2 linked regions of the Callithrix jacchus genome follow. The protein of the gene in region 2 interacts with the protein of the main gene of each other region in a biochemical or structural test. Links are inferred from orthologs where the notes say so. Each region holds a gene or a part of one and is shown on either strand. Other genes may lie near its edges.

Region 1 (4,396 bases), on a different chromosome or scaffold from region 2:
CACGCCCAGCCTAGGGAACTCTTAATACATTAACTGTTACTGCTTCTTAGGATGTTAATAATGAGTTCTTTCCTTATGCAGGCCCTTAGGGCCCATTTCTGGATGGCCTATGTGTAAATGCAAGGACTTAACACAAGGCTATAGCCAGTCCGCGCTCTCCAGGAGTCAAATCTTGGCGCTTTTGCACCAATGGCAGACTATGCGTTAAGGTAAGAAAGAACTCTACAAAGTGTCTCACGCTTCATTTAATCTGAAGAATATTACAGGCTCTTCGTCTTCAGATATAAATTATTTATAACGTTACAGAACAAGCAGCGGATCGAACCATTTAAAAACTAGGTAAGTCTACACGGTGTTAACTTCTCGCCAGAGTCCTCCCAATCTGGTGGTTTAAAAAAGTCCCCCGGGCCCCCATTTCAGTAGACGTGCACCATGCCATAGAGGAACGTCCAGAACAGGACGTAGGTGAACAGGCCTCCGATGAGGCCTCCTGTAAAGAGAGGTCTTCGTGATTTGAAATATTTGTTCCACCTCCTTCCCGCCTTGAGAATGAGGAGCAGGGAGAGCAGGACGGAGGCGAGCAGGTAAAAGATGAAGCCGTAGAGGCCGGTGAGGCCGAGGATGCCGGCCGTGGCCCCCGACAGCGCTGACACCGAGGTCCGGCAGTAATCCAGGACGGCGGCGTTGCCCCGCACGGCCGCCTCGCTGATGAACGGCGGCCCTTCCCGCTTGGCCACCACCGCGGCCATCGCACCCCCCGGGGCTCAGTTTCTCGCTTTCTGGCGGGACAACGCGGAGCTGTAGAGAAAACCAAGTTACAAGTGGCGCCCAGAGCTCGGCGAGTTGGGTTCACGCCGCCGCCGCCCCCTCCCCCGGAGCTTCCAAGAGCTGGCACCAGTCCTGGGCCTCGGACCTTCAAGAGACGCCGAGAAGGTTGAGGGTCCGGGCCGGCCGGGAGGCGGTGGCGCGTCTGCGTTCTCCGGCCACGCTGACCCAGTTACCTGGAATACGGCGCCGGACACCGTACTTAGCGTTTCTTCAGGCGGGTAGGAGAAAAGACTCCCGCGACGCCATCTTGCGCTGAAGGCTGCCGGGAGGTCCCGGACTGCGCACGCGCCCAGATCCCACCCCGCCCTCCACGCCTGCGCCGTGGGCGCCCCGGGCACGCTCCACCCCCTCCCCCCCAGCCCTTTTTTTTTTGCGCACGCGCCGGAACTTCGGAAAGTGGAGTGGCGCTTCGGCCGGTGATTGGCTGGCGGGTGTGCTAACTATTCATGAGGGGGCGGGCCGAGCAGGGCGGCCTTTGTTAAGCAGCGAGGGCGCGGCCGCAGGAACTCTTCTGCCGGCTTCTGCGAGTGGGGCTGGGCGACCAGAGTGGGGTCGAGATGTCCTACATTCCGGGCCAGCCGGTCACCGCCGTGGTGGTGAGTGCGCTTGCGCGGGCTCCTCCTCGTCTTGGCCCGACCCCACCTCCCAGAGCGGGAAACTGACACCCCAAGCAGGTTGACAAAGCATCGAACCCGGGGTTCCTGCGAACCGGCGGCCAGGGCTCGAGTCCTCGCCTTGCCGGAGCCGGACACAGCTGCCCCAGCCACGGAACAGGGACGGCCGGGACCCGAGAGCCTCCCTAGACCCTGGACAGAGCCCAGACCGCGCGCGCGGGGCGGGGAGGGCCACGGAGCCTGGGAAAGCGCCCCCTTCCCGGGCCTTCGTGTCCCCAGCCGGGCAGCTGAGGGGGGGCGGGCGCGGATCCCGACGTCCATGAGTCGCAGCCTCTGGAATGAGGAAATGCTTCTTCCATTGCAGCCTGCGCCGCCGCCCGGAGGGAGATCTGGGGGTGGGGCTGTCCCGAGCCTGCTGTGGCAGCCCCTTCCCCCTTTCTGTCCAGCCTTGCTGCCCGGCCCAGGGTGGGCGCTCACACAGCTGGGATGAGCATTTCCTCTTCTTGGATCTCCAACCCTTAAGGCAAAAAAAGTCCAGGCCTTCTTTCTGGCACTTGAGACCTGAGGAGACCCTCTGGGGACTAGCCTAGGCCCCTGTCCACCCTCTGGCTTGTTTTAAGTGCTGGGTACTATTAGATTAGGCAGAGGGAGGGAGGCTGGGATATTAGACTCAGACGCCTGTGTCAAGGTGGGACGGGGCCTGGAGGCCAACCCTTTGGCAGAGGTGGGGAGACCCAGAAAAAAGTCTGTCTGATGGTGCTCGGCCAGAAAAGACGACGTCAAGAAAGACTCAGGTCTCCTGTCCACCTCCCGAGAGCGTTGAAAGGGAAGAAATGTCCGCCCGGTGGCCCGGTGGGCAATGGGTCAAGTGAAAGTCCCTGCCCTGGAGCCGTGGGGGCCTGCTGTGTACTCTCAGATGGGTGTGTCCAGCAGTCAGGTGGGTGGAGGCAGAGAAGTCACTGATAAAGGTGGCACTCAGGCCCAGGCCCGGAGGAAGCATTGCCAGACCAGCTGACAGCTGTCCTAAGCTTCCCCTTCCCTGCAGCCCCACACCAGCCTGGAGCTTTTTTTTTTTTTTTTTTTAACACGGAGTCTCATTCTGTCAGCCAGGCTGGAGCACAGTGGCATGATCTTGGTTCACTGCAGCCTCAGCCTCCCTAGTAGTTGGGATTACAGGCACGCACCACCATGCCTGGCAAATTTTTGTATTTTTAGTAGAGATGACCCTATGTTGGCCAGGATGGTCTCAAACTCCTGACCTCAAGTGATCTGCCCACCTCGGCCTCCCAAAGTGCTAGGATTACGGGCTTGAGCCACCTCGCCCACCCAGCCTGGCTTTTCTAGGTTCCTAGCTGCCCCAGAGAGAAGGTACCAGGTTTGCTCTTTAGCTAGAAGTGGGGCAGGGGCAGGTGAGGAGCCAAGCAAGCCACCTTCTATGTGACCTCCCGCAGCAAATCAGTGACAGCCCTGTCCCCCAACCCAAAGGCCTGTATCCTTCTGACCACGTGGAGCAGGCCTGGAGAAGCTGTTCTGGGCATGAGGACACAGGCCCAGTGGGCCTCAGGGATTATGCTGCCTGTCCCCCTCCCTCATGCCGTGATTGGTCTCACAGCCTTCCCCAAAACTATAGGCCCATGCCCCCCAATTCTAGTAACACCAGGAACATGCCTGACGTGGTGTGTGTGGCCTGGCCTCTCCCTTGAGTCTTGGATTGGGGGTGGGGTTGGACAGGCTGACTCCCCAGTCTCCACTGTCTCCCATGTAGAATTCTGAGAATATTAAAGCCACTTAGGACTCTTCCCCTGAACTCTGGCTCCATAGATCCATCTGCCTTCTGGACACCTGCCCCACAGCTCCTGGTACTCCAACTCGACCTGCTCCTCCTCCTTCTGGGTCTCCATCTGGGTGATGTGTTCAGCCAGGCGAGGTGTCTGGATGCTCCTTTGGACTCCTCCTCTGCATGAGTGCTCCCCAAGGCTGTAGATCTCCATTTTCGGCATCCTGCTTTTGTGAGATGTCCGTTCCTCTACTGACCACGAGTAGTCATTCTAGCAGCAGAGCTGACCATGCCCTGCCCTACTCAATTCCTGAGAACTCCAGTGGGTTGAGGATCAAGGTCAGGCTACTCCTCACCCCCTCAGGCTACAAAGAACCCCCTCTTTGGGAAAGCTCTTTAGGTCTAGTCTAGTTCATCATCTTTTTTTCTTTTCCCCTTCCTGTTAAAACTCTCAACTTTTGGAGTGATCTGGTTTGGCTCCTAGCATCTGCCAACTGGAGGGTGCTTGCCAAGGGCTTTGAAAGGAATCTGGCACAGTTGGGGACCACAGCCCCAGAGCATGGTGGGAGTGTCCTAGAACACTCTGCACTGCACGAGAGCAGGGCCCAGGGCTTAGGGAGATGCCCCTACTCCCCTTCCAGGACAGGATGTGGCCCCAGCCATATACTTGCAGCCTCATCTCGACGCCTAGTTCTGTGTCCCGTGCTGTACACTCGTCTCACCAACACGAATCCACAGCACCTTGAAGCCTGTGCTCTCATCCCTGTGGCCGGCAAACCCTTTCTCCCCTTTCTATGCAAGTTTGGTCTCTGCTTTTCCAGAGCACCTCCTGGGAGATGGGCCTCCCACCCACAGAAGCCGTAGCACCCTGACCCTTGGGCCAGGAGGGGCTTAGAGCATATGTTGACCAAGACTAGGGCCTGAGACTCACAGGAGAAGTGGTAACAGGCTGCGGCCAGAGGGCTGCATGGGTGGGTCGATGTGGCCAAGGTCCTTGTGCCTCCCAGGCTGCCAAGCAGCTGGATTCCTGCAGGGGCCTGGGCCCCACCCCCTTAGCATGGTGCTGAGGCTGCTGCCCACACAGCAGCCTCATTCTCCACCCACCCACCTCCCTCAACTTGCTTTTTTCTTTGCCAGCAAAGAGTTGAAATTCACAAGCTGCGTCAAGGTGAGAACT
Region 2 (3,797 bases):
GCTCTCCACTGAGACCCCACAGGGTGGGGACAAGCCCCCATTTTCCGATGTGAAAAGCGAAGGGGTGGCTTGGCCCTGGTGCCAGCTCTAAGCCCCAGCCACTCCCATCCCGGCTGCCTCCTCCAGCAGATCCTCTAGCCCTTTCCTGGGAAGAAACTCCTGGTGCCTGCAGCTCCCTGAGGGGAGTCTGAGCAGGGCCGCCCCTTACATGCATGATGGTAGAGGGCAAACTGGCATGCCCGGTGGCCCACCCTCCTGTGACCACTCCAGGTGCTGAGCCAGCCCCACATGGGCAGGGCAACGCAGGGCACAGGAGGGAGAAGGGAGACCCACAGGTCCGCTGCCCACAGCCAAGGGGCTTCTGAGAAGGCTGCCCATCGTCCCTGGGAGAACTGGGCCGCTGCTGGGGACCAGCCACTTGGGCTCGGGAAAGGAACAGTGGCATGGGGGAAAGGCTGTGGCTTCTGCCTGCCTCCAGGGGGCGGCCTCACCCACCCTCCACCGCTACCTCCGGGAGCTGGCTCCAGGTGACCTGGGCGGGCCGGTAGCTCTTGACCACAATGGTGGCATCCGCCTTCCGGCCTCCCTCGGGACTGGAGGGCTCGTCAAGGATGTCATCATCAGACTCCTGGCTGGTGTTCAGGCCCCGCTCCTGGATCTCCTGGTAGAACTGGGGGTCTGGAGAGAGAAGCGGGGATTGAAAAAGGCTGGGCCTCCCTGGAACCCACAGGCTGAGCCCTCCCCAAGGCCTCTTCGGAGCCCTTGATGGGATCAGGCAGGACAGGCCCTCCTGGGCGGGGTCCTCTAGAGCCCACAGTCTCCACGGCTGTGAGGGAGAGGGAGGCTCTGGGTGGGGGCCGCCTAAGGTGCTGGGCAGGAAGGTGCTGGGCAGGAAGGTGCTGGGCAGGAAGGTGCTGGGCGCCAGTCCTGAGACCTCTCCCACACCACAAGCCCCTCCTGAGATGGTTTTCCCAGAGATTTCTGTAGAGGAGGCCTCAGTGTCCCCTCCTGGGCCCATGCCTGTCCACAAAGCTGCTGGGGGCTAGAGCGGGCCACTGTGCCTTGGGGCCTCTGGACAGAGGCCAGGCCTGGAGCTGGGCACTTGAGGCCCCAGTCCCCCCAGGCCTCTGACCTCATCAAGTACTTTGACCCCAGCAGCAGGCACCTCCCTATGTCAACCTCTCGTGGGATGCTCTCATATCCCACCAGCTGGCTAAGTGGGCACTTCCCCACTCCAGCTGGAGGCCCCAACACAGGGCTCCCCTCCAGCCTCGGATTCGAGACAGAGCCCGTGGCGTGGGCCTGGCGTCCTCGGATATGGCCTTGGTCCCCCACACTGCCACTGTAGGCCGAGCCCAGCAAACATATGGATGTTCAGGGCAAGTCTGGGGGCTCTGTCTGTGCCCTGCCCTTCAGATCACATAGAATAGAGTCCAGGGGAACTTTCTGGATCTTTCTAGACTATTCAAGGCTGCATGGTCAGACCAGCCACTGGGACCTCAGGACCTCAGCCTCTGGAAGGACCCCATCAAGCCGCTTTGATAATCCTGACACCGAACTGACGCCCACCTGACCCCCAGGAGGTCCCAGTGAGACCAGCTTCTACTGGAGCCCCTCCCGGTCTGCGGTACCTCCCAAAGCCACTCACCGTCCTTGAAGGAGCCCTTGTGTCCACGTTTCCGCCCCAGCGTCTTCTGCACAAAGGAGACACAGAAACCGCAGCTGTCAGCCAGGGCAAGTATGGCTCACCACGATGCTACACCCCAGCCCCGCCTGAGCCCAGGCCCACCGAGACGCTGCACCCCAGCCCCGCCTGAGCCCAGGCACACCGAAACACTGAACCCCAGCCTGCCTGAGCCCAGGCTTACCGCGTCACTGTACCCCAGCCCTGCCTGAGCCCAGGCCCACCAGCTAAAGAGACCCCAGGGACCTCACGGCTCCACGTTTGAAGCTGTGCCTGATGGGAGGGGGCCCTGTCAGGCACACAAAAGGTGCACAATAAATGCCAACTCCACAGGGCCTCAGGACCGCCTGTCTAAGCAGAGGCCAGGACACGTGGCTGAGGGCCATCAGGTCCAGGAGGGCTGCTTGGAGGAGGAGGAAGGGTTGAACTCACCATGAGGGGATGCTCAGGAACATCGAGCAGGCCTGGAGAGAACCCGTGGCAGGGCAGGTATGGGTGGGAGAGGGCAGTGGAGGGACAGTGGGGCAGCACATAGGCCCCTGGGGACCAGGACCGGGTGGGTCAGTGTCCAGCCCCAAGCAAGGGCCTGGGGGACATAGCAGAAGGCCGGGATGGCAGAAGTGATGAGAGGGGCTGGGTTTCTGGGAAGCCCCCACGCTCAGGTGCCCGGCTCAGAGCCCACCCTCCTTTGCTGGGACACTACACTTGTCCAGGTGTGCTGGTTCCCAAAAGGAGAGGGGCTGATTTGTTGGAATGAGTTGGGGCTTGAAAACTCCCCTTTCTGGCTGGGAACATGAGGCACTCCCAGCTGCACCTGGCCTGGCACCCTCAGCCCTGTGCCCCACACCCCACCTCAAGCGCTTCCCCGGTCCCTCTTGCGTCTCCCCCACCCCCCACCCCGTCCTCTCCTTTCTTCCTCTGCCCTAACTCTCCTTACTCACCAGCCCTGCCTGCGCCCAGGGCCACCAGCTAACGAGGCCAAGCAGGGTGGCCAGAGTCCCAGTCCTGGCTGTGTGGGTGTCCAGGTGCCACGCAGCTCTCCCTGAACACGGCTTCCAGCTCCAAGGCTGCCTCAAACCAAGGCTGGCCCCAGCCATAGGGAACAGTGACTCGGGGGATGAGGGATGCTGGGCTCAGGAGCCCCAGGTGGCTGTTCTGTCCCCTGGGCCCTAGTGGCACATGCAGCAGGCTACACCCTGCCCAGAGAAGGGTCTGCCACCACCATTTCCCAGACCTAGAGTCACTGCCAGCAGGCAGGGAAGCAGGGCTCCGTGTACAGAGGGAGCATGCAGACTCCTGAACCCCCAGCCGCCACACGGCTGCCCTGCTGAGTCCCTGTCCAGAGCTGCTGGGGCAGATGGAGCCAGGCCAGTCAGTGCCATAAGGCCACCCTGGACTCCATCATCCAGGCAGGCCAGCTCCTGGCCAGGGCTCGGAAGCAGAGGCTAGGCCCTTCCAGGGACCTGCCCTCCACCAAGGCTGGGAGCAGGGACACCAGAGTCTAGGGGCCTGGGTAGATGCCTTGACCTTTCTCAGCCTCTGCTGCCTCCTCTGCGAGGTGGGATCTTCACACTCACAGACTGGGCTGAACTGGAATAAACCAGTTGAGAGCCCTTATGCAGCAGGTGCTTACTAATGGCAGCTGCCGAGATGCAGATGATGATGGTGGGCCGGTCAGGCCACCCCTCTGCTTAGCAGCCCCTCCCATGGTCCATGTGGGCAGGCCCCTACCTTGTGTCTGGCTGGGCTCCTAATGGCAGGCTGGGTGGGCTCCTCGGCCAGAGCCTGCAGCTTTGGGCTTAGCTGGATGGTGTCCCCCTGGCCACCTGGCTTCCCCAGGCCCTTCATGGCTGCCCGGTAGGATTGGTTCCGTAGGTTCCGCCTCAGCATGCCCCTGGGGTCCGTGTCCATGTCCATGTCGTCCAGGGAGAAGCTGGCGGCTGGGAGGAGCTGGGGGTTCCGCCGGGCAGCCTCCCTGCTGAGCACAGCTGCCCCAAAGCTCTGGTGGCGGGCTGGGGTCTTCGACTTGCTGGCCACGGCCAGGCCCTTGGGGATCATCTGCTGGGTGCCCAGCTTCAGGGCCGCTGGGCTCTCTGTGCTCAGTATGATGGGC

What was found.
Region 1: the proteins of ARHGEF16 (region 2) and TAX1BP3 form a complex in vitro, tested with the Homo sapiens proteins (2 studies listed by BioGRID and IntAct, with this or other methods). The link is inferred for Callithrix jacchus from reciprocal best matches to the Homo sapiens genes ARHGEF16 and TAX1BP3.

The regions. Positions count from the first base shown.
Region 1 is NC_133506.1:67,210,801-67,215,196, reverse strand, and holds the start of TAX1BP3 (tax1-binding protein 3), read left to right. Parts: upstream 1-1,385; coding exon 1,386-1,424; coding exon of another isoform or gene 1,425-1,959; intron 1,960-3,110; coding exon of another isoform or gene 3,111-3,211; intron 3,212-3,316; coding exon of another isoform or gene 3,317-3,442; exon of another isoform or gene 3,443-3,585; intron 3,586-4,356; coding exon 4,357-4,396. Other genes in the region: EMC6 (ER membrane protein complex subunit 6), read right to left, coding at 417-749; uncharacterized protein LOC118153673, read right to left, coding at 1,269-1,959, 3,111-3,211, 3,317-3,442. UniProt on the Homo sapiens protein: May regulate a number of protein-protein interactions by competing for PDZ domain binding sites. Binds CTNNB1 and may thereby act as an inhibitor of the Wnt signaling pathway. Competes with LIN7A for KCNJ4 binding, and thereby promotes KCNJ4 internalization.
Region 2 is NC_133508.1:41,339,497-41,343,293, reverse strand, and holds part of ARHGEF16 (rho guanine nucleotide exchange factor 16), read right to left. Parts: coding exon 3,416-3,797; intron 1,695-3,415; coding exon 1,649-1,694; intron 679-1,648; coding exon 509-678; intron 1-508. UniProt on the Homo sapiens protein: Guanyl-nucleotide exchange factor of the RHOG GTPase stimulating the exchange of RHOG-associated GDP for GTP. May play a role in chemotactic cell migration by mediating the activation of RAC1 by EPHA2.